Macaca mulatta: one gene and its partners. The protein of the gene in region 1 purifies or fractionates together with the protein of each later gene. This does not show direct contact. Links are inferred from orthologs where the notes say so. Each region holds a gene or a part of one and is shown in the gene's direction. Other genes may lie near its edges. The genes, in order: ADRA1D, DTNA, UTRN, SNTB2 and CTNNAL1.

Region 1 (6,105 bases):
AACTTAAAAGCAGTGGTGAGTCATCAAAGAAATATTTTTGAAAGAGTGAAATGATCAGATTTGGGAAGACCCATATGGCAACAGACTAGGAGGCATTATTGGAGTATGAATGAAAATCTGAGTGAGGCATGATCAGGGCCCGACCTTAGGCAGAGATGTTGGAGAGAAGGGGATGGGTTCACAAAGTCAAGTAGGCAAACATAATCAACACCACTCTAGGACTGGCTAAATTTGGGGTGGACAGTAAAACAGAAGGAGTTTAGGTTTCCAACTGCAGCAATTGCATAGATGCTGATTCCATTTTCATAAGTGAATACAGTAAGTTGAAGATTTTAGTGTCAGAGATGGTGAGTTTAACTTAGGAACATGCTTAATTCGAGGTGCTCATGAGGCATCCAAGCAAAGATCTGGGTGTGAATGGTGTGCTTGGGATGATATTGAGCTTTATCCCAGCCCTCCACTGCTAAGATCTCCTTTCAGAGAGAGACAGCTCTTTCTCTTGTTGCCCCTGCCACCAGCACGTTGTGCCGGCCCCTTCCCGGATTTCAGCGTCTGATAAGCAGGTACAGGAAACTCACAACGATCTCACAACCACTGTCCTTCCATATTCATTTCCCAAGAGCTCCAGAACGTCTGGAATCATCTTGCAGAACTTCTGAGGACCACCAAGACCTGAAATGGGGAAAGACTTCCCCATCTTCTTCCAGGCATTCTATCCCACAACTCTTCCTACCCTGCTGGCAGGAACACCTCCAACCAGCCTTCTGCTGGCTCCCCACACCAGAATCAGGCACACATCTCTATGTGACACCAGTCAAGTAGTCCCCAGCACCCCAGCCCCAGCTCTAGGTTTAACTATGTCTCCTCTTCCCAGTCTTTGAAAACTGGCCAATCCCAGAATCGAATGGATTCCACCAGGGTTGCACCTATTCCACACTATGTGACAGCAGCCACCCATGGACACTGACCTGCCATCTAACTCTCCCCAGAGAGGAGCTCCTGGCCTCCTCTTTCAGTTCCCACTGTCCCTTCCCTCTCAGAGAGGAAGCCCAAACCCAAGATTTTACTTTTGGTCAGCTGCTGGCTAATCCCTAGAAGTCACGTTGCTTTCATTTCAACTCACTATAGTAAGTTTCCAAAAACCAAAATAAAAGATTTAATGGGGAAGGCCATGGAAGAGCTGTTTCCAAGATATGATTATAAAAGCTTTATCTTCCTGGACTGGGCAATGGAGAGGAGGGAGGTCACCCATCTCTCAACATTTCTCCAGTTTTTTACTTTTTCTCCAAAGCAGCTTCTCATCTAAAACTCAGACATCCTGCCCCTGTGTTAACCACAACCAGTGGACACTAGGGCTATGGGTTCTCTGTCCCCTCCCAGACACTTCTGCAAACAGGCCCTCATCTCCCTGGTAGGGCTCAAGCCCTCCTCATTCTGCAACTATGAGATGGCATTACCCTCCTTACAGTTAGTGTATCCAGCATGGTGCCTGCCATGTGCCAGCAGCTGGTATTTTTATGTTGGCTAACTGTATGATTTCTTTGAGCCTCTCCCTACCCAGTCCTGCTGCTGCTCAAGAAGCTTCTCATACCCTCTCCCACACCTGCATCCGGAGTCCATACCAGCCCCACACCTCCTCTGCCTTCCATCCTCCCTGTTAAAAGCCTGCCCTGAACAAGCCCTACTCCGCTGACATACCCAAGCACTTCTCTGGGGCCCTCACCCATATTTACTCAGTTAACCCTCAGGCCAGGAGGTAGACATCACTTCTTATTCTCATTTTACAGATGAGGAACTGTGGCACAAAGAGGTCTCACAGTTAATATGGGGCGGAGCCTGGATTCAGATGCGGAGCCAGACTGTCTCACACCCGCCCCATTTAACCATCCTGCCAAGTGCCCTTTCCCACCCTCCGGCACTTACACCCTCCCTCTTAACAAGGCCAGAACAAGAACAAGGCCCCTTATTTAGGGTAGGTAGCTACAGAAAGATTTATTCCCGCATCTGATACAGAGAAAAGTAACAGTGTATGTAGACCAGCGTGTCTTGGGCAGGGTCCGAGGGCTGTAGCCACAGCATCCTGCTCCTGAGCCCATCGTACCCAGCCTCAGCCCAGAACAGGTTTCCAACCCTTCCTGGGCGCTCTTCACGACATCGCACTGGGCAGAGGTGTCTGAAACCCTGCCCTGGCCAGTGGCCTGAGAAAAAGGAGGTGCGGCAGATCCATATGGGCAGTCCCAGGAGGCAACCCGCAGCGGCACTGCGCCGTCCGGTCCGCAGTCCCCAGATCCCAGGCGCTTGCTGCTCTCTGGCGGCCAAAGCCGGTATCCCGAAGACCCGGGACTCGCGCCTTCAACGCACCGCGCGCCCAAGGGCACCAGCGAGTGACCGAGAGACTCGGGGGAGAGGGCGGGAGAAACAGGGACGCCGCTGAGGACCAAGGGGGAGGGGGTCCGGGAGAGGAGCGGGAAGGAAAGCAAAGGGCACCGCGAGGGGAGAGGGCGGGCTTGGGCACTTGCGGACAGGCGTGGGTGGCTGCTGCGGGACCCGAGCACGCGCCAGCGCCGCAGCCCCCCTAGACCCCGACACACTCGCTTGTCCTGAGCGAAGGGTCCCTTCTCCCCTGGGGTGTGGCGCCCCTCTCTCGGCCCGGGTCGCCCCCTCCTCCTTCCTGGCGCTGCCCCTCCTCGGTCCCGCCCCCCGCGCCGAGTTGGGAGCGCCGCAGTGGCCGCTGCCTGCACCGCCCGGCCCCGGAGCCGCCGCTTTGCCCGCTTGCTGGGCACGATCAGAGCGCCGCGCGCGTCGCCAGCCCCGGCTCTTCGGTGCTAGTCCACTGCCGGCCTCGGGGAGCCCGGCCGCCGCCCGGGCCAGGCAGCTCCGCTCTCGGACAGCCGCGCTCCGCGTCACAGGAACTTAGGCAGGACCCCAACAAGACCGTGCGGAGCTGCATCTGGAGCCCCGCGGCTATGCCCTGTGCTTCCCTCCCTGCCGGCCGCTCGTTCTGCGTCCCGGCCCGGCCACCGACGGCCGCGCGTTGAGATGACTTTCCGCGATCTCCTGAGCGTCAGTTTCGAGGGACCCCGCCCGGACAGCAGCGCAGGGGGCTCCAGCGCGGGCGGCGGCGGGGGCAGCGCGGGCGGCGCGGCCCCCTCGGAGGGCCCGGCGGTGGGCGGCGTGCCGGGGGGCGCGGGCGGCGGTGGCGGCGTGGTTGGCGCAGGCAGCGGCGAGGACAACCGGAGCTCCGCGGGGGAGCCGGGGAGCGCTGGCCCGGGCAGCGACGTGAATGGCACGGCGGCCGTCGGGGGACTGGTGGTGAGCGCGCAGGGCGTGGGTGTGGGCGTCTTCCTGGCAGCCTTCATCCTTATGGCCGTGGCAGGTAACTTGCTTGTCATCCTCTCAGTGGCCTGCAACCGACACCTGCAGACTGTCACCAACTATTTCATCGTGAACCTGGCCGTGGCCGACCTGCTGCTGAGTGCCACGGTACTGCCCTTCTCGGCCACCATGGAGGTTCTGGGCTTCTGGGCCTTTGGCCGGGCCTTCTGCGACGTGTGGGCCGCCGTGGACGTGCTGTGCTGCACGGCCTCCATCCTCAGCCTCTGCACCATCTCCGTGGACCGGTACGTGGGCGTGCGCCACTCACTCAAGTACCCAGCCATCATGACCGAGCGCAAGGCGGCCGCCATCCTGGCACTGCTTTGGGTCGTAGCCCTGGTGGTGTCCGTAGGGCCCTTGCTGGGCTGGAAGGAGCCCGTGCCCCCTGACGAGCGCTTTTGCGGTATCACCGAGGAGGCGGGCTACGCTGTCTTCTCCTCTGTGTGCTCCTTCTACCTGCCCATGGCGGTCATCGTGGTCATGTATTGCCGCGTGTACGTGGTCGCGCGCAGCACCACGCGCAGCCTCGAGGCGGGCGTCAAGCGCGAGCGAGGCAAGGCCTCCGAGGTGGTGCTGCGCATCCACTGTCGTGGCGCGGCCACGGGCGCCGACGGGGCGCACGGCCTGCGCAGCGCCAAGGGCCACACCTTCCGCAGCTCGCTCTCCGTGCGCCTGCTCAAGTTCTCCCGTGAGAAGAAAGCGGCCAAGACGCTGGCCATCGTCGTGGGCGTCTTCGTGCTCTGCTGGTTCCCTTTCTTCTTTGTCCTGCCGCTCGGTGAGTGACCCCTCTCCCACCGGCCCCTCCTGTTCTCCCTGAGCCTATGGCGGTGTCCTCGTGGCACCCAGACTTGGGCGACCCCCACCTGAACCTGGAAAGTTGGCTTAGCAAGTCCTGAGTCTCCTAAGAGGCAGGTGTGCATGCACCATTTTGTGGAGTGCCAAAGAGAGGGTCTTCATCCTCGCCAGGTTTGTTTCACAGGCTTCTAACTTTTCTGTCCTTCCCTTCTTCTCTTCCAAGCCTTGGGCTTATGCTGCTGGCCCCTCTAAAAATAAAACGTCTGTGAAAATCTGGGCAGGCATCTGCCCATATGTGGTCGGCAGTGTGTGTGTCCCCCTACAGATCCCCCTCCCTGGAGGTGGGTGCACAGAGTGGGTGGGCCTCCATGTGTTCATTCACGGGCAGCGAGCCCTGGCCAGTCAACAGGTACGTTAGCAGATGCCAGAAGCCACCCGCTTTTCCCCAGCACTCATTCAGTTTGGAAGCTGGCCCCATTTTGAGACCCTCCCCAGCTGTGTTTTTGAGTGCCCTGGGCTCTCATTTCTGAAATCCCCTCTTGGAAAGGAAGGAGGTTGTGTAGCGATGAGAAGCACAGGGATAGGGATAAATTATCAAACGGAAAGTTCATATTGTTAATCGTTATTTCTTGAGCTTACTGAGTCCTTGAGCTCTTCCGGGGAACTTTCCTGCTTCTTTCACAAGCTGCCCTGCAGTCCTGGGAGGTGGGCAGCTGTTTTCAGAGGCCGCCTTCTACCCCTTGAGGCCTCTCTTGGAAGCCCCGGGTCTGGGACTGGAGGCTGGACCAGTGCAAGGAGTAGAGGGGGAAGAGCATCTCTGGGGACAAATTTGCCGGGAGTCAGATCCACCCATGGCTGCAACCTCCGCAGGCCCAAGCTGGGCCTTCTCTGCCTTTCCCAGGCCTGGACCCTTCCACACTGCCAGGCTGAGTCAGGAAAGAGACAATGGCCTCCTTCCTGTGCCCCCGAAAGCCCTTTCCACACTGCAGCCACAGTGAACTTTATATATTATAAATTAGATGTGTCACTCTCCTATTAAAAGCCCTCAGTGCTTTCCCACTGTCCTGAGAACAAAATCCAAACTCTCTATCATCACCTATGAGAGGGTGACCTTCAAATGCATTGTTGTCCAAACCAAAATAGGACACTATGAATATTTACACCGGGACCACAGGCTAGAACTGGAGCCATGCAGACATGTGGTCCCCCTTCCTACAATGGAGATCTCAAATGAGAGCTGTCTCCCTCTCTGCCCTCTCCCCCTCTGCCCTCACGGCCTTGCCGCTTCCCTCTGCTCTGGGTTCCTCCCCTCTGACCCTTCCCGGGTTTCTTGCCGGAGCCCATGCCTGTCCTCAGGCCTTTGCACTTGCTGTTCTCTCTGTCTTCACTGCCCTTCCCAATCCCTCCTGGCCAACTCTATCCTTTAGGTCTTAAATGTTCCCTCTTCAGAGGGACCTTCTTGGACCCTTGACCCTCAGTCGTGTCCTTGTTTTCTCCCTTGAAGCACAAGGTTCTCTTCCTTCACTAGATCATCGGTCGTAATTACATCTGTGTGCTGCTTGGTGTGTTTCTGGAACTGGCCCAGAAGCTGTGTGAGGGCAGGGCGGTGTCACCTGGGTCATCACTGAGTCCACGGCACTCAGCACGGTGCCTGGTATGTGGGGAGCAATAGAGAGCACTGCAGTGGGGACTACAGGCTCTGGCGCCAATCCCAGCTCTGCCTCTCTCCTGCTAGCTGTGTAACCATGGGCAAATCCCTTAACCCCTCTCTGCTTGCTTTTTTATCTATAAAATAGAGAAGAGGTGATGGTAATAATGCCTATCTATAGGGCCATCGTGGAAATGTAGCTTTTGTAGTGGATACTCAATACGGGGTAAGAAATGAATAAGTAACCCTTGAAAATCAGCCAGCCAAAGGTTGTTGCAGGGATGGGG
Region 2 (6,184 bases), on another chromosome or scaffold:
ATGAAGTCCATAAAGGGGTCTACTTCTGATTATTATTAGACTCCATAAAAATGTATGAAAAGATCTGGAAAAATCTGAAAGTACTTTAAAATATTTTATTATTAATATTATTTTCTTTAAATATTGCAAGCTTATCTCTTCATTGCCTACTTTATTATACCACTGTCTTTGCTTTCCCATCTATCTCCCTGAATTTCAGTGTTAATTTCTTCTTAAAAATGTATATGCCATGGCTATTTGATCCCACTGTCACTTTTATTATTACATTATACTAATAAGTCTAGTTATTTCTTTTAGTGGATCCTATACTTTTTTAAAAATTGAGATCTTTCAGTACATCCTCTGCAGAACCGACACCTGGTGTCATTGCCATCAAATTCCTGTAAGTTTGTTTAAGAAAGAAAAAATTCAGTAAGAAAGTCCACAATTTCCTGAATTTGTTTTCCATGCACCAAAATTTGGAAAATTTTAGCTTTCACATGAAAGTTGATCCTCTTTTTCTTCTCCTTTTGTTTCCTTCTCTTCTTTACTTTCTTATCTTGTAACTTCATTCCCCCTCCTTTTCCCCCCTCTTGACTCCTTTCTCTTCTGCCTTTTCTCTGACCATTCTCTCTTTCATACTATTTGTTTTCTTTTTGGGTTATTAGAAGGCTAGTTAGCTGCTCGAATTTCTTATCTACACTGAAAAGAAGCTACCCAAGAGTGTTCTTTCTGAGAACTTTTACAATATAAATCATTCCCCATTTACTGTTTATGTGAGTATGGTGAAAGTGTAAGAGAAGGGCAAGGTTACACATAATTACGTTGGCCATTTAGAAGGTAGGAGGGTTAATGACAAGACTGAAATATAGGGCACATAGGCAAATGAGATGATTTTAACATGGAAGAGAAATTAAGTAAAAAGAAAATAAAAGTATCTTGTGCTTTCTTTGTGATAATTCACAACACCAAAATAACAAAGATTTTTATCTGCAGTCATTCAGTATATGTATCTTGTCTCAACAACTAGATGTAAACTAAAAAGTACTTGTATTAAACTTCTTTATGTCCTTCAAAATGTAGCATAGCTCTTCATATACACCAGGTGAAAAGGGTTTCAATGACATATACAAATTATGAAATTGGTGACTACTTCAGAAACATTGGCTCAATTTGCTAGAAATTACTATCTAAGCATTTAAACAATGCAACTGGATATAAATGTACGCATACACATGCATACACACAACACATTCCCCCAAAAAGAAATAAAATTATATGAAAACGTGAAATTGGAAATACAATACTAGAGAAAATTATATGAAAACATACATATAGTAAGAAAAAATAATTTTCAGTCTCGGTAACTTAAAAATAATCAACAATGTTTTCATTATTTTCAGTAACCTAAGTATCTGAGAATTGATTACAGTGAAAAAGCAACCTGTGAGTAGCTGTGCAATTAATATTTATAGTGAGATATTGACTTATTATGTGTACTTGGGTAGGTCATGTTATCTTACTTATGCTTCTGTGTCTCTGAAGTGACAATACTATTTGCCTTTTCATCTACCTCCTCTGCAAAGATGCTCTGCAAATAAATGAGGTAATGTTTGGGGAATGTTTGCAGCTTGGGAAAGAAACCCACTGCATACATCTAAGAATATTCCATATTCAAGCCTGGTATATTTTGCCTCTGTTTTAAATTGAAATTGTACTGTTTAAGTTCTTGGGTTCTGACCAAAATCTGGGTCAACATAAGATAATAATTATTTTTAATTTTAATTCTGAGTCTCTGTTCCCATCTCCTGCACGTGTGAGGGAAAACTGGAGGAAATAAAGCACATAAATCAAGCTTTGGAAGAGAAAAATCTCTATCTGGAAGGATTTCTTTTTTTTCTTTTTCTTTTTTTTTTTTTTTTTCAATGATGAGCGTGCCCACTATTTCCCTAGAGGAATATTTCGGTCCAGGAAGGAGGATAGTGCATTCAGTGTGAGAGTGTGTGTGTGTGTGTGTGTGCTGTGCGTGCGCGCCCGCGGAGAGAGGGGCGGGGGAGGCGGATGAGGAGGATGAGATCATAGTTTCAGGATCCTCAGGAAACCCTGGTACTGGCAGCAGCCAGCCTCTGCTGTGCCCACATGACCCACAACTCTGGCAGCGGACCCGGCACTTCCAACATTATTAAATAATAAGAAAGCGGCTCCTACTCCAGGCTCAAACCTCCCTGCAGACCAATGGACGCCTTCTAAGAGTTTGGTGAGTCGGTGACTGAAGCGCCCGTCCATTCCAAGGTGTGTGCAAGGCGTTTTCTTCCTTGACAGCTCCAGAGTGGGGGAGGGCGCGGGGGTGGAGGAGGTCCGTGTGCCGGGCGAGGAGTGGGCGCGAGGCCGGGCTGCCGCGCTGCCCACGGCCGCCCGGTGCAGCGGGGCCCGCCGCGGGGCGGGAGGTGCACATGACGCGCAGCCCCGAATGCGCAGGGACCGCAGCCGCCCACGGCGCCGGGGCGCGGGCAAAGGCGGCTCGGCGCTGGAGCAAGGGCAGGCGCCGCACACCGACCAAAGTCAAGAGTGGAAGCGGGCGGAGAGCGCCGGCGGGGGCAGGGATTCGCCTCAACGCCCACTCGCGGGGTTCCCACCTGTGCGCCGGCGCCGGCCGCGGCTAGCGCGAAGCATGTGCCGGGCGCCGCAGCCAGGACTGCGGCGCGGCGCCTCCCCGGGCGGCGGGCGGCGCCTCGGGCCCGCGGGGCGGCGGTAGCGGCTGCTGCAGGATGTCCGGCCTGGGGGCGCGGGGCCGCGCAGGTAAATCTCCGCCGCCCTCGAAGGCCCCCGCAGCGCCGCAGCCCCCGCTGCTGCCGCGGCGCCGCTCGGGGGGTGGCGATGGCAGCTGGCTCCCTCGCGTCGCGGGTTGAGTTGTTTTTGTTGTGGTCGCTGCCCTCTTGGTCATCCTCGCGTGCTGAGCTGGTGGGAGGTGGCGTGTCTACCTCCATTAGGGATGATACTCACGTCGGGGAACAGTCTGAGGGGTATTGACCGGGACATCCGCGATGGTTTCCTTTGCAGCCAGCGGCGTCCTCTCGTGTTGCAATGCACTGCGGTGCCCGGGCCGATGCCAGAGTGGGAGTGGGCTCTGGGCCCTGGGGACGGGGGGCGGCGGGGACGGGTGGGGACGGGGGTGAGTGTCTTCGGCGTTTATAGCCTGTTGCCCACTTCGAAGTTTTCTGCTGGACAGAGGGCAGGCGGGAGGTTCCTTCTGTTATCCGGAGTGGGAGGTGGAGAGAGGTGTCTGTCAAAAGACCAAAGCCAAAGAGAGAAGGGGGTGGCGACCCCGGGGCTGGGAATCAGTGGTACCACTCCTGGGACTTGATGGTAAAACTTTGCTCTTTGGCAGGCTTAGGGTATGACTTTGGGAAGATAACTGTAGAACTTGGCAGGGAGGGGGCAGAGGGAGGCGCAGATATTGGATGTACCTTGCAGTGAAGCTTACCATGCTTTAGGTTCTTACTCTAAAAATTGTCTTTTAAGTTGATGCTTATGTTTTCCTGTTATATGTCATCACTTGGCATTTAATGTGCTTGTGTTTCCTTTCTAATCTAAGAGATACTTGTACTGTTGAAGTGTACAGTTACTGATTTCTTTAAAAAAATAATGGTTTTTTTTCTTTTGCTTATTCCAAAGGTGGAAACTTTAGGAAAAAAGTGTTCCACATGTTCCACGGTTCTATATGGTTTAGATTGATTCACCGTCTTAATTCTTAGACCACCAGGGGGGTAGATAATATTAATAAACAACTTTTGCAGGTGAGAAAATCCAGGCACAGAGAGGCAAAATAACTTACCCAAGGTCATACATTTATTAAGTGTTAGAGTCTAGTTGGACTTTTCATGCGCCCCTAATCAACTCATTATACCTAAAGTCTTCTATATTGACCACATCTTTCTATGAAGATGAGCCTTAATAGGTATGTGCTGCATGTTCAGAATAATTAACTCTTTTTCCACTTTTTCTTCTTATTCTAACTTTCAATACTAAAATTATGGCAAATAATGTTTGAGTAGTTTCCTTTCACCACAATTAACCAAGTGTCCTACAATAATTAAAGTTGCATGTCCTACAGTGACTAAAGTTGCATTTCACAACAAAGTTGAGATTTTCAGCAGGTAAGATGTATCAACAAGGTAAATTATTGTAAAGCAGATGGCTAAAGCTATGTGTTTGCAATTAATTTTAAATTTCCTAGGTTATTAGTCGGTTCTTTGTTCAGATCATGGCCATCGTTTTCTTCAGAACACCACCATCTTGCAGATTTTTGAGCAAGTTTAGTTGTATTTAATCCACTCACTCTGGCGAGAGTTGGGCAGTTTTAAAAGAATTATGCAATTCTCTTTGGACTATCAGTGATTAGAAGCAAGCTGTATTTTAAGGGCATTCGAGTTTGTCATGTCATTTAGCCAATTGTATGTACTTTATACTGAATTGTGTAGCAGTGAAGACTGAAATCAGATTTTCTCATTAGTTCTAAGTTGAAATACTTTTAAAATCTCCACTTGTTTTAAATGAACCATGATGTGAAGAAAGGTCTCAATGGGGTGAGCTCCAACTTACATGGAGAATTACTCTCACATATTTAGAGAATTACTCTTCATTTGAGCTTATCATAGAGCTTTCACAATATTCATTTTATTGGGCAGATGTCTCTTAAGTCTTCATCTGTTATTTTTTTTCAAGTAAACTTTAATTGCTTCTTCACATAACGAGTTTCAAAATTATTTTGACATTCATAGATTTCCTTTAATTCTCATCTTTCACTTTAATTAAATTCAATATATATAATTTCAAACTCACACTTACTCAACATTATAAGTAAAAAGAGACTAGAATCCAACTAAACGGCATGGAAACATGATCTGTGGATACGAGAAAAAATATTCAGCTCTTCAGTGGTTAACCATCCCCTCCCCGAAACACACACACACACACACACACACACACACACACACACCCCAGAAATATGGCTACATCTTTATTTTGGGATGCTACAGTGCAGTCCTGTGGTCAGAGTGCTTGTATGCCATCAGTCACAAGTATTTTTGATATTGAAATTGAATTGATTTTTCCAAGTCCATTTATATATAGTGTTGATTGTTATCAAGACAAATTCTGTGATACATACATATATCCTTTCTTAACTCAGCGTTCCAGTTTTCTAGCTTCTGTTACTTATTTTAGAGACAGCTTGCTACTTTTATCTCACTTGGTAGTTTTGACATGACCTTTTCCTTTCAAGTCCCACACCTCTAGTTTGAAAGAACTGTACTGTCTCTGCTTCTACAGAGCCTCTTTTCTCCAGGTGTGAGGTGCAAGAGTGGGGTTCAATAGTGAGCAGAAAGATCTGTGAGCCCTGACTGCACAGGGGGACAAGCTTTAATAAAATAATTATACCAATAAATTATTACTTGTAAGTTGAGGTAGGTTTCCTGAATGAAAGAAGGAGTTCTATGAGAATATCTATTAAAGGATTCTGGACTAGACATGGAGGTCAGGACAAGGTGCCTGAAAAGTCACATATTTGTGTGGGAATGACACGTGAGAAGGTGTGTACTAATTCCAGTAATCTTTTACTAAATGCTTGCATGTTAATTTTCTGAATTATGTTCTGAATCAGAGATATGTGTCACTCTAGTTGTCTCTTTACTTCTGTATTCACCAGGAGACATACTGTTTCACCTCATTATCCATCCGTGGACATGGGGGGAGGGTTTACAAAACTATCAGTACTTTTTTCAAAGCACACGGGGCATGTGCTAGCTTTATGTGGTTACTCACCTATTTGCAAAGAGTGATTTAGGTTTAATGTAATATAGTCATTTTCTTTCTTTTCCTTGGCAACTACTTTCAAACTAAAAGAAGTAGTTCTGTGTAGTTTGGGAGGTTTGTTGTTGTTGTTTTTGTTAAAGTGCCAGGATGTCTCAAAATAGAACTTTAATTGGTTTATCACACAGTCACTGACATTCTCTCAACTACCCAAAAGAAGAGAGGAGGCTCCATAGTGATGGAGATGATATTGAGTGCTGAAGATGCTGGAGAAATTCATATTAATGAGTTCAAGCAAACATAGGAGTGACTAAATTTATTGAACACTTACTATGTACTGAGCGTCATTCTGTGGTCTCTATATAAATTATGTGATATATTCTTTACAAAAGCC
Region 3 (5,532 bases), on another chromosome or scaffold:
GGATTACAGGTGCCTGCCACCACACCCGGCTAATTTTTGTATTTTTAGTAGAGATGGGGTTTCACCATGTTGGCCAGGCTAGTCTTGAACTCCTGACCTCAGGTGATCCACCTGCCTTGGCCTCCCAAAATGCTGGGATTACAGGTGTGAACTTCGCCTTTAAAAAACAAACTAAATAATGTTTCTCTCTTGTTTTTCCTACTAACTATATAGTTGTATTTTTGACATTTAAATCAGATCATGGAATTTATTTTAAAGAGTGAGGCAGCCTCTTGCCCACTCTTTGCTCCACACCCCTCACCAATTGGTCTAATATGATTTTTTTTGGATTATTTTATTTTATTTTTGAAGTTTCAACTCCATCAGTTTTTGAATTCCTAGATATACTCACATTCAGATGAAATTATTAGTGATTAAAGAGAATGTGTAGCACTAGATACACGATATATGAAATGGCTTTTTGTCTAATTTAAACTTTTTCATGCTTTAGGAGGTCTGGTCTTGTTGGATTGAACTGCTTCACTATTTGGATCTTGAAACCACCTGGTTAAACACTTTGGAAGAGCGGATGAAGAGCACAGAGGTCCTGCCTGAGAAGACGGATGCTGTCAACGAAGCCCTGGAGGTTGGAACCCACAGTCTCCATGGCATTTCTCTTTGTTGTGATGAGGCCACACGTGTTTACAATGAGGAATGTAATGCTTTACGCAGGCAAATGCATTTGCTTCCTCAGTCATTTTCAATGTCACTTGCATTTTCTTTCGTAGCCTGAAGTGTTTATACAATCATATGTATTTAGATTATTGGTGACCCACTATATCAGCCTCAAGATGTGGTTAGCTGTTTCACAATTTGTAAATTTTAGACATGTTGAAGCACTCTAGTGGTTTTCCAGTTTATTTTACTAGGCCCTGGACAAAGCTCTGCCATATGTTATTAGGACAACTGCTCTCTTGTTTTGTCAACAAGTTATTTTTACTCACTAAACACAGCACTGACGGTTTACAGGGGCTTCCTGTCTCTTACCTTCAGATGTTAGAAGTTAAAAGACAGTGGTTGAGGCATGGGATCTTGTCGTAGGAGCTTATCTTCAAGCCTGGACTTTGAACTCATTGAGGACAGGAAATGTACCCGATACCTTGTTATTCTTCTGTTCCCACCACAGTGTGTAGCACATGCTAATTTAATAACCATTTCTTAAATGAAATACAATACAAAGGGGGTGGGTCTGCTTAACAAAAAATAAAAGGGGAAGGGGTAGATATGCTTTTAAAAATGTCTTGGTACCATGTGGGAACTGAGTGGACAAATGGATTGAAGGTCAGAAATGAGTAAAATGTGGCACTTACATTCCAGGAGATGGATGCTCTGCTAGAGAAAAGATGTCACTTCTCAAATATAGCAGAGTGAGAGACAGAGTGAATGAAAAATATGAAAAGCTTAATTTTTTTTCCTAATGTAAGAGTGAATACATGTACATGCTAGAAATATGGAAAATAAAGAAAAGTGTAAAGCAAAACTCTAAGATAAACATTTTAAAATGGTTTGTAGATTTCTTCCTAACTACTGTCTTTTATATATGCATACTAGATGGTAGTATATTGGATCAAAGGCTTTGGGATCTTTTATTTACTTATTTATTTTTTATTTGAGACAGAATCTCCCTATGTTGACCAGGCTAGAGTGCAATTGTGTGATTTCGGCTCACTGCAACCTCCGCCTCCTGAGTTCAAGCAATTCTCGTGCCTCAGCCTCCCGAGTAGCTGGGATCACAGGCGTGTGCCACCACCCCAGCTAATTTTGTATTTTTAGTAGAGATGGGGTTTTACCATGTTGGCCAAGCTGTTCTCAAACTCCTGACCTCAAGTGATCCACCCTCCTCGGCCTCCCAAAGTGCTAGGATTAGAGGTGTGAGCCATCGCGCTTGGCCAGGCTTTGGGGTCTTAAAGGCTTTAGAGCCATGTTGGTATCTTTCCTCTTCTTTTGACTGCATGTATGTAGGCAAGTTATTTAACCTTTCTGAGCTTCAGTTTTCCCATCTGTAAACTGGGAATGCTATTTAGCCCATATGGTTAATTAGATTTATGTATATAAAAAGTGTTTATATAAAACAATGCCTCTTATTCTGCGTATATTGTAGAAAAATGAGTACTTATTTTTAGTAACGTAATTAATAAAAGTTGAGCTAATTTTGTTTGCATAGTACTGTCTCCACCTTTAAACTTTGTTTCAGATTGTAAACATTTCCTCGTATAATTAATAATTATTTTTAACTTTTTATTATTCACTTATTTATTGTTTAGAGACGTGGTCTCGCTCTGTTGCCGAGGCTGGATTCCAGTGGTATGATAGCTCACTGCAACCTTGAACTCCTGGGCTCAAGTGATCCTCCTGTCTTACCCTCCCATAATTAATAATAGTTGAAATTATTTTTGTGAAATTATATTATTATATATCACGTGTGCTAATTGCTCATTTTTATGCATTTTTTAATACTGGGATGGGTATTTTTTGTGAATTAGTAATTTTCTTAATTTTTGGTTCTGTTCCTTAGGTAGATTTTTAGAAAATAGAATTACTTGTTTAACAAATAGACATTTTGAGGATCCTTGATACCTTTTGCCTTAGTAAATGCATTATTATTTTTTTTCCCCATCTCCATTCCAGTCTCTGGAATCTGTTCTGCGCCACCCGGCAGATAATCGCACTCAGATTCGAGAACTTGGCCAGACTCTGATCGATGGGGGGATCCTGGATGATATAATCAGTGAGAAACTGGAGGCTTTCAACAGCCGATATGAAGATCTAAGTCACCTGGTGAGAGTTGGGATGTGCATGGGTGTTGATTAGGTATTGATGAAGTGGAGCTGGCCCTAAGCTCTATATCACAGAGCTTTAATGTTGGGAAAATCTTTAATGTTGGTTAAAGTTGGTAACCAGTGCTCACAGGGGCATTGAGGGTATTGAAGTACTCACTAGGGAAGAATAGATCTAACACTCTAAGGCAGAATTTGATGATTAAAAAAATTATTTTTGAGATGATTTCCTACTTGAAAAATATTTAATTTTCATTAAGGATCATATGATAGCTGTATCTAAGAACAACAACTCATACTATCCTAGTAAATATTAGTGCCATGATATTTGACATAAGCTGCAAAGCCATAGTCTCTTAGTTCATATCTAGGTTGTAACATACATATTTGTATCACGAATTAGAGAAAGAGCACTTCTTTTATAGGAAGGTTGGGTATGAATATTAGGTACTTCCAAACACATTAAATAATAACTGTTGATGTTCAGCCCATGAATAACATCAAGCTTAAACCAAAAGTGCAGTAAATAGTAGTTTGATATGTATATACACCTATAGAATTTGTTTTAGGCTTTGGAAAAAAAGAGACTCTGATGTTTATGTATTAATAGACATTTTTCTTATGTTTTATATTCTTATTGGCAGACATTGGCTGATTCCTAAAAATGCTTTAAAATTATAATAAATAGCAAATTTTTATCTTCTGTTTAATGCATCTTTTGGGAAACCTTTACATTTTTGTATTTCGACATTGTATATAGAAAGAAGTAATAATTAGTAATTCAGCTGCATGGTACATAAGATCCTAGTGGGACATTTTCACTGTTATCATTAGTAATTATTATTTATTTATAAAGAAGGCTAAAGTCTTGGAGGAAAGCTTTTCTAGTCTTTTCTTAATGGCCAGAATATATATATTCTGCTATTTATATTTGTGTTGGGCAACTAATGATTCAATTTCTCCTCTGTGCAGGCAGAGAGCAAGCAGATTTCTTTGGAAAAGCAACTCCAGGTCCTGCGGGAAACTGACCAGATGCTTCAAGTCTTGCAAGAGAGCTTGGGGGAGCTGGACAAACAGCTCACCACGTACCTGACTGACAGGGTAGATGCTTTCCAAGTTCCACAGGAAGCTCAGGTATTGCCATGTATTTGAGGGCTTCTGAGCTGTAAAGAGAGCTTATGTAGTTGCCTCCTCAACCATAAGAAAACCCCTCCTGCCATCCAAAACCGAGAGTCAATGGGAAAGATTGACTTACTTACAGGGCAGCATTTGGGTTTTGGAGTTCTCTTGCTTTCTGTGTGAGACTCTGGCAAAAGTCCTATATATTAAATTAAATTAAATGTATTTATTTATTTATTTGAGACAGAGTCTCACTATGTCACCCAGGCTGGAGTGCAGTGGCACGATCTTGGCTCCCTGCAACCTCTGCCTCCTGGGTTCAAGTGATTCTCCTGCCTCAGCCTCCCAAATAACTGGGACTACAAGTGTGTGCCACCAGGCCTGGCTAATTTTTTGTATTTTTAGTAGAGATGGGGTTTCGCCATATTGGCCAGGCTGGTCTTGAACTCCTGACCTCAAGTGATGTGCCTGCCTTGGCCTCCCAATAATTTTTGTATTTTTAGTAGAGACAGGGTTTTGCCATATTGGCCGGGCTAGTCTCAAACTCCTGACCTCAGGTGATCCGCCTTCCTCGGCCTCCCAAAATACTGGGATTATAGGTGTGAGCCACTGTGCCTGGCTGAAAAGTCCTGTATATTTTAAATTGTAGTTTTCTTAGCTGTGAAGTTGGGACAATTCCTTCCTTATAAATAAGTTGTGAACATTAGAAACGACAAATGCAAAGACCTTAGCATGGGCGTCACGTACAATATTCATACCATGCAGTGGGCCATATTATTATTATGCAAAAACTTATTATTATTATTATTTAGACGGATTCTCACTCTGTCACCCAGGCTGGAGTGCAGTGGCATGATCTCAGCTCACCGCAAACTCTGCCCCACGGGTTCAAGTGATTCTCCTGCCTCAGCCTCCTGAGGAGCTGGGATTACAGGCGCCTGCCACTGCACTTGGCTAATTTTTATATTTTTAGTAGAGATGGGGTTTCACCATCTTGGCCAGGCTGGTCTTGAACTCCTGACCTCGTGATCCACCCACCTTGGCCTCCCAAAGTGCTGGGATTACAGGCGTGAGCCACCGCTCCCGGACTACAAAAACTTATTAAAGCTTCTGTGGAGGTCAACATTATGTAAAATACAATATCATGTATAATACAACGATATAGAACTTTTGTATTGTCTCCTTTTATACTTAAGAAAACAAAAGGACATCCTCTCCCCTTTCCAATCTCTTTGTAGAAAATCCAAGCAGAGATCTCAGCCCACGAGCTAACCCTAGAGGAGTTGAGAAGAAATATGCGTTCTCAGCCCCCGACCTCCCCAGAGAGTAGGACTGCCAGAGGAGGAAGTCAGATGGATGTGCTACAGGTAAAGAGGGCCAGGAGCTTCCTTTCACTTTTCAACATGTTGGGAATTTTTTTTTTTTTAAAGAGAAAGAATTGATTACTTGGGCACCGTTGATATTCTTTATGATGTAAACCATGGGATGGGAGTGATGTATTGAAGGTTGCATCCCAGGACAGCAGAAACAAATTGTTGCATGGATGGAAAAATATTAAATCTGATTTTGATAATTGAGTTGAGAAACGGGAGAGTGA
Region 4 (5,532 bases), on another chromosome or scaffold:
ATTATAAAACCTTTTATACCTCTTGAGTTTTATTTTATGTGCATATTTTACTTATTCACAGGAGAAACTCTGTGTACCACTGTGCCCAGCCAGTTTGTCTAGTTTTTGAAACAAGAACACCATGCCTCAAGTGATAGTAATTGTAGTCATGACTGAAGTAAAAGAAGAGTTTCATGAGTTTTAAAATTGAACTTAAAAAAGCTTTCTATTTACTAAAAGCTTGATTTTCATTTGGGGCTACATTAATGGAAACAGAGTATTTTGAACAAGCAAGCGGGATCAGTTGAGTTGGCTTTGTGCTTATTAGATCATACCTTATCTTGAATATGCTTTATTTTTGCACTTTTAAGAACTGTAATGATTTTAAGAACTGTAATGACCTGTTTACATAGCTGTCTCCCCTGCAAGGCTGGGCATTCCTTGAGGGATAGAATCCATGGCTCATTTGCCCTCGTGTCCTTACTAGCTAGCCTAATTCCCAACACTTGATAGGTAGCTAATAAAAGTTGATTGAATTGAATGGAAATAGAAATACTTGGCTTAATATGGGGAGGAGAGAGAAGAGAAAAATCTGTCTTCAGATAATTATAGAGTTCTCATGTAAAAGAGAGATTAAGTTTGTTTTATATGACTTGAGAAGACAGGGAACCAATGGGTAGAAGTATGGAGAAGTTTCTAAAGGTTGAGTCATCTAAAGCCTAGATGGGTCTGACTTTGAATCTATCTCCAGCGGATTCATGGCTCTTTAACTTACTTTTTTTCCCCCACTTTTTCTTTGTTTGTTTGTTTGTTTTTGAGGCAGAGTCTTGCTCTGTCGCCCAGACTGGAGTACAATGGCACAATCTCGGCTCACTGCAACCACTGCCTCCTGGGTTCAGGCGATTCTTCTGCCTCAGCTTCCTGAGTAGTTGGGACTACAGGCGTGTGCCACCACGCCCACCTAATTTTTTGTATTTTTGGTAGAGATGGGGTTTCACCATGTTGACCAGGCTGGCCTCGAACTCCTGACCTCAAGTGATCCACCTGTCTTGGCCTCCCAAAGTGCTGGGATTACAGGTGTGAGCTACCGCGCCCAGCCATTTCCCCCACTTTGTTATAGATATAGCATGTATGTGAATACTTTAGTTATCATTTATTATAGGAAGCAAAATTACTAACCACCTTCTTTGATTTTTTTGTTCATAGTCAAGTTCATCCGAGAAGTAACACCATATATCAAGAAGCCATCATTAGTATCAGATCTGCCGTGGGAAGGTGCAGCCCCCCAGTCACCAAGCTTTAGTGGCAGTGAGGACTCTGGTTCGCCAAAACACCAGAACAGCACCAAAGACAGGAAGATCATCCCTCTCAAAATGTGCTTTGCTGCTAGAAACCTAAGCATGCCGGATCTGGAAAACAGGTGAGGTGTACCTAACAAGATCATCATACCTACAGCTTTACAAACTTAAGGACATGTTGCAGTATTATATGACTCTGTTAACTTAATTATACAGAGGAAAACATCAGTCTAAGGTGAGAGATGCATTTTTGGGGTTCCACATTTTAAGTTATTCTACATATATACATGTATATGTGTAGAAAAAATTTTGGACAGGCACACAAGAAACAGTTAATGGCTTTACCCCTAAGGTGTCAAATAAGATTAAGGGAGAGAAAGAAAGAGGGGGCATCTTCTCTTCCTTTTATATCTTTCCATAATGTTGTTATTACTTTTTTCACTATGAATATGTATTACTTTATAATTGAAAGAATTCTTGTTAAAGAGAAATTTTTAAGTATCTCCTTAGATGGAAATTCCTTAGACTGTAGGTAGTATAGAGTTAGAGATCTGCATTATGGTTTTGGCTGAATCAACCAGCAGTGTGACTCTGGCAAGTTAGCTCCCCTTGACCTCAGTTTCCTCATTTGCAAAATGAGAAAATTAGATTGGATGATTTCTGATGTCCCTCCTAGTTCTATAATCATATGTGTTCTGTAACTTTGTCTTCATTAACTCCATGAAGTGGCACTGGTAGACCGAATGTTAAGTTAGAGATTAGGGGAAAAAATAAGATGAAAATAACTTGCCCAAAGACATAGTTAAGGACAGACTTTTTATAATGTGTTTTCACTATTATGGTCTCCTCTGATCTTAATGCACAGCCAGGTGCCTGATCAGGATGGAATGGAGCACAGAAGACACCAAGAAACTGAATTGCCTCCTTGGGTTTTTAAGGCCTCCTTGGGTATTTAAGGCTTCAAAGCTTCTGCTCTGTAGTATTTTACAAGGTTTGCTGGAATGAACTGAGCTCTGCAGTCGGATAGATCTTGGTGTGAATCCCAACTAGGTCACCTGCTCAAAGTAAGGTTCTGAGCAAGTCCCTTCACTTCTATACAACACCATATCATCATCTGTAAAAAAAGGGATAATGATACTTAGTGTGCTGATTATATGAGATGGTACCTGTAAAGGCCCTTACACAGAGCCAAGCACATACAGTAGGTTCTCAAGAAATAGTATTTTTAAAAAGTCTTAACTCTGCTGAGCACAATGGCTCACACCTGTAATCCCAGCACTTTGGGAGGCCAGGGTTAGAGAATTGCTTAAAGCTAGAATTTAAGACCAGTTTGGGCAACATAGTGAATCGCTGCCTTTACGGCATTTAAAAAAAAAATTAGCCAGACTTACTGGCGTGCACCTGTAGTCCTAGCTACTTGGGAGGCTAGGGTGGGAGGATCACTTGAACCCAAGAGTTCAAGGCTGCAGTGAGCTAGGATTTTGCCACTGCACTGTAGCCTGGGTGACAGAACAATATCCTGTCTCTTAAGAAAAGTCTTTTTTTTATTTTTATTTTTTTTTGAGACGGAGTCTCGCTGTGTCGCCCAGGATGGAGTGCAGTGGCGCGATCTCAGCTCACTGCAAGCTCCGCCTCCTGGGTTTACGCCATTCTCCTGCCTCAGCCTCCTGGGACTACAGGCGCCCGCCACCTCGCCCGGCTAGTTTTTTGTATTTTTTAGTAGAGACGGGGTTTCACCGTGTTAGCCAGGATGGTCTCGATCTTCTGACCTCGTGATCCGCCCGCCTCAGCCTCCCAAAGTGCTGGGATTACAGGCTTGAGCCACCGCGCCCGGCCAAGAAAAGTCTTAACTGACTACTATGTAAACACGTTTTGAAAATTATATTCTGATATATTTAAATTTTTGGCTTTGTTTTAAAAGTTCAAGACATTGTAGAAATTACTTTGTGCTACGTATAGGTTTATTCCTGGAAGGTTGTATGTATGTTGAATCATCTAAGTGCAACACAGCTTGATCTTTAAAGAAATTTTGTATTCTTTTCATAAAGTAATAATTTAATTTGGGCTGGGATAGGTGGCTCACGCCTGGAATCCCAGCACTTTGGGAGGCTGAGGCAGGTGGATCACTTGAGGTCAGGAGTTTAAGACCAGCCTGGCAAACATGGTGAAACCCTGTCTCCACTAAAAATACAAAACTTAGCCAGGTGTGGTGGCAGGCACCTGTAATCCCAGCTACTTGGAAGGCTGAGGCAGAAGAATTGCTTGAACCTGGGAGGCAGAAGTTGCAGTGAGCCGAGATTGCACCACTGCACTCCAGCCTGGGTGGCAGAGCAAGACTCTGTCTCAAGAACAAATAAATAAATAAATAAATAAAATAAATGAGATACATTTGAGCCAGACATGGTGGCGGCTCACACTTATCTCAGTACTTTGGGAGGCTGAGGCAGGAGAATTGCTTGAGGCCAGGAGTTTAAGACTAGCTTGGGCAATATAACAAGACCCTATCTCTACCAAAAAAAAAAAGAGAGAGAGAGAGAAAAGAGATACATTTATATAGAGCAGTTGGTCTGTTAATTATGGGCTTTTTTTTTTTTTAAGTTAGGGACCATAGAGAATTAAATAGAATAGAGAAACAATGTGATAAAGAAAAACAAATTACAACTACATTTGTCAACTAGCTGTCAGGCTGAGAAAAGTACAGAGTCAATTTTGTTATAAATCATTTCTTTTTTTTTTTTTTTTTTGAGACAGGCTTCACTCCCATCGCCCAGGCTAGAGTACAATGGCATGGTCTCAGCTCACTGCAACCTCTGCTTCCTGGGCTCAAGTAATTCCCCTGCCTCAGCCTCCCAAGTAGCTGGGACTACAGGTACATGCCACTATGCCCAGCTAATATTTGTATTTTTTGTAGAGAAAGGGTTTTGCTACATTGCCCAGAGTGGTCCCCAACTCCTAGATTCCAGCAATCCACTCACTTTGGTTTTCCAAAGTGCTGGGATTACAGGCATGAGCCACCACGCCCGGCAATAAATTATTTCTGAGAATAGGTACCTATAGTGCTGCTGATGTAGCTGGGTATTGAAGAAAAAGGCAAAATGTTATAAAATTTCTATAGAAACCCAGGGTTGTGGGAGTGGGCAAAGAAAGAAGGAAGAAGATGATATGACTTGGCTGTATTGCTAAATGTTGTGCTACTTCATCATTCACTAAGGATTGAAGTCCAGTAACCTTGGTCTTTGTTAAAACTTGGGGGCTGAATTCTCTGACATATTTATACGCTAAAGACATTTGGTGATGGTCACATGTGAAGTAGGTCTTCAGAACCAAATGGAGAGGGCAGTTTGGGGCTACCAGAGTTGTGCTATTATACCTTCCTTTTCAATAAATGATCAGTCTACTTGACCATGGCATACTATATAAGGAAAGGTCTTAGAAGATCCACGCTAGTTTTGAGATTCTCAGTCTTAATGCTTCAAAGCAACTTGTTCTAATTTTACTTAAGATATCAAAATTTGGCCGGGTGCAGTGGCTCCCACCTGTAATCCCAGCACTTTGAGAGGCCAAGGCAGGTGGATCACTTGACATCAGGAGTTTGAGACCGGCCTGGCCAACACAGTGAAACACCGTTTCTACTAAAAATACAAAAATTAGCCAGGTGTGGTGGTGCACGCCTGTAATCCCAGCTATTTGGGAGGCTGAGATAGGAGAATTGCTTGAACTCGGGAGGCAGAGGTTGCAGTGAGCCAAGATTATGGCACTGTGCAAGACTGTGTCTCAAAAAAAATTTTTTAAAAATAAAAAAATTTGCACATTATTTGCTTTTTGTAAAATATAAATTGGAAGAGATTCAAAGTTATTCCTATGATGATACCACTTATACTTGCATTTCCATGTGCTTTTTAGACATAAGAGCATTAGGATTACAAGGAGTTTGCAAAAAATATGCATAATTTCGGCTATACTTATGGGAATATGAACATCTGTGTGTCTTGGCAGAAAAAATGTACAGAACCATTAACTAATTAGACCTCAGTTATGAGAGAAGATAGAAGTTAGGAAGATAGGCTTCGTAATGTTGGTCAGGCTACTTGTTTTCCACAAGCCTTGCATTTCCCCTGTATAAAATAAGATTATAGGAGGATTAAATAAGACAGTAATTATAGAATCAGTAAGTTCTCAAGTTATTATTATAGGCATTGTTAGTGTCCTTGTGACCTTAAATAAGTTCCTTAATTTCTCTGGCCGCCTGTTTTCT
Region 5 (5,532 bases), on another chromosome or scaffold:
AGTCCATTCTGTCATACCGCCCTGTAGGGTTGTTCTACTACAAAAGATCCACTACTTACCTTCTTCCTATGTGAGCTTAGTCATTAAACCAGTGTCCATTGAATTGTCTCCAAACTGTGATGAACATAAAATCACATACTTCATTCAACAAATAATTATGGAACTTGTGCTATATGTCAGATCTGGGAGAAAAGAACTCTGTGGAGAAAAGTGAACAAGGCAAAGCTCCTGCCCCCATAGAGCTTATGTTCTAGTGGCAGAATACAGACAATAAAAATTTAAGCATTCAGTGCACATATGTAAGTACATGGAGATAAAATCATGTAGGACTAGAATACAGAGGTGGTAGAGGGGTGGTCAGAAAAGACCTCTCTAAGGAGCTAATGTTTGAGTAGAGACAGTAATGAAGTGAGAGAGTTGAATGGATAAATGAGGGTAGAGGATTTTAGATAGCCAAAACAAGTGCAAAGCCCTGAGGTGCAGGGTAGGGCTGGGTGTATCACAAGAGTAAGGAGGCAATTATAGATGGGAGTGAAGTGAGCCAGAAGGAAAGTGGTAAAATATGATGTCTCTGTAGGCCATGGGGAGAACTTAAAATTTTTTTTTTTTTTTTTTTTTTTTTGAGACGGAGTCTCACTCTGTTGTCAGGCTGGAGTGCAGTGGCACGATCTTGGCTCACTGCAACCTCTGCCTCCTGGGTTCAAGTGATTTTTCTGCCTCAGCCTCCCGAGTAGCTGGGACTACAGGTGTGCGCTACCACAACCAGCTAATTTTTGTATTTCAGTAGAGACGGGGCTTCACCATGTTGGCCGGGATGGTCTCCATCTCTTGACCTTGTGATTCACCCACCTCAGCCTCCCAAAGTGCTGGGATTACAGGCCTGAGCCACCACGCCCAGCCAATCCTATTATGTTTTAAGTAAGGTTTTTGGCTTGGCCAACAGAGTAAGTGGTAGTGCCATTTTCTGAGACAGGGAACACTGAGGGGGAACACTAGATTTAGAGGGTGGAAATCAAGCATTTTGTTTTGCACATGTTAAGTACAGGTCAGATAGGAAATACACTTGGCCTTCCTTATCTGCAGGTTTTGCATCTGCAGATTCAACCAACTATGGATTGAAAATATCCAAAACAGTAAAAACAGGCTGGGCACAATGGCTCACTCCTATAACCCTAGCACTTTGGGAGACCAAGCTGGGAGGATCACTTGAGTCCAGGAGTTTGAGACCAGCCTGGGCAACATAGTGAGACCTTGTCTCTACAAAAAATAATTTATAAAAACTAGCGGGGCATGGTGGCACACATCTGTAGTCCTAGCTACTCAGGAGGCTGAGGCAAGAGGATTGCTTGAGCCTGGGAGGTCGAGGCTTTAGTGAGCTGTGATCCCACCACTTCACTTCACTCTGGGCAACAGAGTGAGACCCCTGTCTCAAAAAAAAAAAAAAAAAAAAAAAAGAAGAAAACCAATAAAACATAACTACAGTTAAAAAAAAAAATACATTTTAACAAGTTAGAGTTCCAAGGGGGGAAAAACAATACAGTATAACTACGATTTACTTAGTATTTACATGAACTATAATTATAATTTAGAGATGAGATGATTTGAAGTATATGGGATGATGCGTGTAGGTTATATGCAAATACTACACTGTTTTATTTAAGGGACTGAAGCATCTACAGATTTTAGTATCCTTGGAGAGGTCTGGGAACCCATCTCCCGTGGATACTGAGGGATGGCTGTACAAGACAGATGTCAGGATAGTTCAGGAGTGCAGACAGACTTGGGAGTTATCAGCTTTCAGGTAGTTTTAAAACCATCATACTCTATGAGACAGATATGGATTTTGTCCCCAAGGGGTTTGCAGTCCAGAGGGAAAGAGAAAGTGTGCAGAATAGAAAGTGGTAACATGAAGTGATAAGGAACACTTGGGGAAGTGAATCATTTCATTTGGTTGGAATTTAGATGTAAAGTTTACTGGTTTCCCTTTTAAAGGGAAGGTTGCAAAGTACGATTTGACCTTGAGATCACTTTATCCAATGATAGCAAGGTGTTAAGCCTTTTGAATAGAGGGTAAAAACTAACTCTGGAATTATTGCCTCCTCCTTCTTAGTATTCTTTAATTTATTTCGAAGACCTATTACTTTCATTCACAAATCACTCTCAGATTTTCCCTGTTCTCTCCATTATTACTGCTGCCACCTAAAACTAAGCCTTCCTCCCTTTACTCCCCTGGCATCTCACTCCGAAATACTCTGCAAACCATCTTAACATAATATCCTAAATACTTCTATCATACCTGCCCAACCTTATTTTTCATGGTTCTTCTCCATCATCCTGTTCATCTCACTAAATTATAGAATTTATGGTACATGGTGAATAGTGAAAATTAATCTGAAAAAAAAAAAAAAAAAAAAAAAAAACCGGAACAAAACCCAACCACCTGGATTGGTTCTCTCAAATGTCTGGTTATGGATGGGTGACAAATTTTGCCTTGCCTAGATGGAAGTGGGAAGGTCCTAACCCTTTTGACCTCATGCTTGAAAATTCATCATCCTTTTATAATTGAGCATATTTGAGATGAGCTCTAGGTCCCTTGAGTAATCTAGACATAATTTGTGTGGCTGAATATCACACAACTGCGTGACCCTCCAGAATAATTGGAGGTCTGGTGTAGAGAAGCCTCTCCAGGGATGGATTCTGCATCTGGTCTGTGAAAACTCCTTCAGAAAACAGGTAAACACTTGTGCATTCCTGGTACAGGAAAAAGTTTAGGAGTTCCATGACAGACTTTTTATGTCTAGGCTTTATTTTTTAAATTCTATGTAAAAAACATTAGTAAGTGTATTTCTTACCAACTATCCATAGACATCAGTCTAAAATAGTGGTGTTTTCTCTTTCTATCAGGTTTTTGCTGCAGAGGGTTTAAAACTTACTTCCAGTGTACAAGCTTTTTCAAAACAGGTAACACATGTCTACCTGCCTGGTGCTGGTGGTGGTATTATATATACCCACTTTGGGGGTATAATATCAAGGTATAAAGGTATTTAAGGTATTAAAGATGGAGTTTTGTTGCGGGCTGTTATAACTTGCTAAATTATATTTCAGCTGAAAGACGATGACAAGCTTATGCTTCTCCTGGAAATAAACAAGCTAATTCCTCTATGCCACCAGCTCCAGACAGTAACTAAGACTTCTTTGCAGAATAAAGTATTTCTAAAGGTAAAAGAGACATTTGAAAAACGTTCACATATCTATCTTTATCTGGTTAGGGAAAGCCCCTTTTTCTTCAAATAAAGTGTTAATACCCACAGAAGGGCAATTTTATTTCCTTTTTTTCATGCCTTGTCTACAAGAATCATTTATTATCTACCCTTATAACTGACCCCAGAGAGTAGCAGATTCACCAAAGAAAGTAGTTTTTGGGACATCATTAATTCCATAGCACTGAGCAGCTACCCTTCAATTCTGAAGTCATTTCCTCTGTAACTAGGACACAGGTGCCTCCGAGTCTGGTCTCCCATAATTTGTCTGAGAGAATATGGGTTTGTGCCCACAATGCAGAGTGCAAGGAATTGCAAAGGATGAGATTTAATTCCACTATTTGGAGTGTTTTGGGAAGCCCCTAAACAGCCTGCATTAGAATGATGAATTTTCCACCCACTCTTTCTGCTGAGGTTCCATGAGATAGACATGAGATGTAGGCAGTGACCCCTGCACCTGTGTCCTGGGGCTTTAAGTCAGCTCATGTGCCTAAATCCATGTATCTTTCACAATCCCTTAGATTTCCATATGGAGAAAATTTTATCATGTTAAAACTAAATAAATGGTAAGGTCTTTTAAATACTACTTTTAGAATATCATTTGCATGCTTTTTGTCACTGTAGGTTGATAAGTGTATTACAAAGACAAGATCCATGATGGCTCTCTTAGTCCAACTTCTTTCACTTTGTTATAAACTGCTGAAGAAGGTGAGATAGCTTTTCTATTTTAGACTCATACTTTAAAAATTGGTTAAAAGGAAAATGCAAAAGAAAATAGTTACTACTTAATTTTGTAATTTTTTTTCAGAGTGAAACAGATACTAATTGTCTTAACTCTTTCCAGCTTCAGATGGAAAATAACGGATGGATCTCAGTTACAAATAAGGACAGTATGGATGGTAAAATTTGAGAGGCTTATGGGATCAGATCTCGGGAACATCATGTGATGAAGCTGACATTTTAAAAAAGCAAATGATCCTTTATGTTTTTGGATATTCATCAATTTTATAAAGAAAACAATATTGAAATTTTGCTCTATTTTCTGATCATGAAACTGTAAAGCTTTTTGACAACTAATAAATGTCATGGCAATTGCTAGATTCTAATTGTAGTGTGATTTAAAAATGGAACATTGCACTAGTGTTCTTTAAAAGTCAAACCAAATATCCCAACTGTCCAAAGGATAATTTAATCCAAAGAAGCTATTTTGAATATGTGTTCGCCTTTGGCATATTTTACCTTAACTGTTTTCTTTCTTTATCATCTAGATCACTAATTTCAGCAGCAAACATACAGTAGTCTGGGTGAACGCAGGGTTTTCCTTAAACCTGTGGACTCTTCTTCAATCCCTCTCTTTACCAAGTGTGACAAAAATCCCCTTGATGACCCTGTCCCAGATCATCCATGCGAGCAGCAAGTTTGTCCCCTAATAAGCATTTTATACAGCAAGGGTGGGTCTGCTGTGCTATGTATGTCCCTCTCCTACTCCTAAAAGCAAGGTAATGGAACTCCACAGAATCCTTGGTTCTAGTTCTAGCGTAGCTGACTGAATTATTAGCTGGGATTCTAAGCCTATCTTTTAGGCTTAAAAGATATTTTGAACTTTCTCAGTATTGATTGATGGAATGGAAGATAAAGACAGAATAAGGAAGCCAAGAAGCTATCTAAATTCTGAATATCATCATATATATATATATATATATATATATATATGGCTTTGAAATGTTCACTATAAAACAAAAACATCATTGTTTAGTTTTTTAAATTTAGGAGTTTAAAGCTTTTCTTGTTTTTGTGGGTGGGGTCATGATTGAAGGATCTGTTTTACAGGTTTTCTCCTTATAATATAGTATGGCCAACTTTGTGGTGGGCTCCAGTCATAGTATTTGTATCTTAATGCTTTGACATTCATTTTGAAATCTAACAGGGCATGCCAGTTATCAAATGGCAGTAGATAATATAAGCTCATCTGATGATCTTTATCTGGGTAAGCCACCACAATCAGTATTCACAAAAGATCTGGAAGAACCACAGTACTGTCAACTGACCACAGCTAGTCAATATTTTATTGAGGAAAATTTTCACTGTAGTCCTTCGGGAGAAAATGTGATGCATTCAGCTCTGTTAATAACCTTTGTAAAATTGTTCCTTAAACAGTCAAAATCATTAAGCATGATTTTTATTCTCTGAAACCAAAGTATTATTTTAAATTACAATAGAAATAATGGGAGAATGATGTGAGGTAATGTTATATGTAAAATGCTATACACAA

The links.
Region 2: the proteins of ADRA1D (region 1) and DTNA purify together in Homo sapiens (tandem affinity purification; 4 studies listed by BioGRID and IntAct, with this or other methods). This does not show direct contact. The link is inferred for Macaca mulatta from reciprocal best matches to the Homo sapiens genes ADRA1D and DTNA.
Region 3: the proteins of ADRA1D (region 1) and UTRN purify together in Homo sapiens (tandem affinity purification; 4 studies listed by BioGRID and IntAct, with this or other methods). This does not show direct contact. The link is inferred for Macaca mulatta from reciprocal best matches to the Homo sapiens genes ADRA1D and UTRN.
Region 4: the proteins of ADRA1D (region 1) and SNTB2 purify together in Homo sapiens (tandem affinity purification; 4 studies listed by BioGRID and IntAct, with this or other methods). This does not show direct contact. The link is inferred for Macaca mulatta from reciprocal best matches to the Homo sapiens genes ADRA1D and SNTB2.
Region 5: the proteins of ADRA1D (region 1) and CTNNAL1 purify together in Homo sapiens (tandem affinity purification; 3 studies listed by IntAct, with this or other methods). This does not show direct contact. The link is inferred for Macaca mulatta from reciprocal best matches to the Homo sapiens genes ADRA1D and CTNNAL1.

Annotation. Positions count from the first base shown.
Region 1 is NC_133415.1:79,801,373-79,807,477, forward strand, and holds the start of ADRA1D (alpha-1D adrenergic receptor), read left to right. Parts: upstream 1-2,635; 5' UTR 2,636-3,039; coding exon 3,040-4,150; intron 4,151-6,105. UniProt on the Homo sapiens protein: This alpha-adrenergic receptor mediates its effect through the influx of extracellular calcium.
Region 2 is NC_133423.1:57,982,212-57,988,395, reverse strand, and holds the start of DTNA (dystrobrevin alpha), read left to right. Parts: upstream 1-2,464; 5' UTR 2,465-2,778; intron 2,779-6,184. UniProt on the Homo sapiens protein: May be involved in the formation and stability of synapses as well as being involved in the clustering of nicotinic acetylcholine receptors.
Region 3 is NC_133409.1:49,741,506-49,747,037, forward strand, and holds part of UTRN (utrophin), read left to right. Parts: intron 1-490; coding exon 491-625; intron 626-2,667; coding exon 2,668-2,817; intron 2,818-3,788; coding exon 3,789-3,950; intron 3,951-5,173; coding exon 5,174-5,302; intron 5,303-5,532.
Region 4 is NC_133425.1:64,863,634-64,869,165, forward strand, and holds part of SNTB2 (beta-2-syntrophin), read left to right. Parts: intron 1-1,185; coding exon 1,186-1,399; intron 1,400-5,532. UniProt on the Homo sapiens protein: Adapter protein that binds to and probably organizes the subcellular localization of a variety of membrane proteins. May link various receptors to the actin cytoskeleton and the dystrophin glycoprotein complex.
Region 5 is NC_133420.1:49,463,162-49,468,693, forward strand, and holds the end of CTNNAL1 (alpha-catulin), read left to right. Parts: intron 1-2,904; coding exon 2,905-2,961; intron 2,962-3,105; coding exon 3,106-3,219; intron 3,220-3,884; coding exon 3,885-3,968; intron 3,969-4,104; coding exon 4,105-4,170; 3' UTR 4,171-4,358; downstream 4,359-5,532. UniProt on the Homo sapiens protein: May modulate the Rho pathway signaling by providing a scaffold for the Lbc Rho guanine nucleotide exchange factor (ARHGEF1).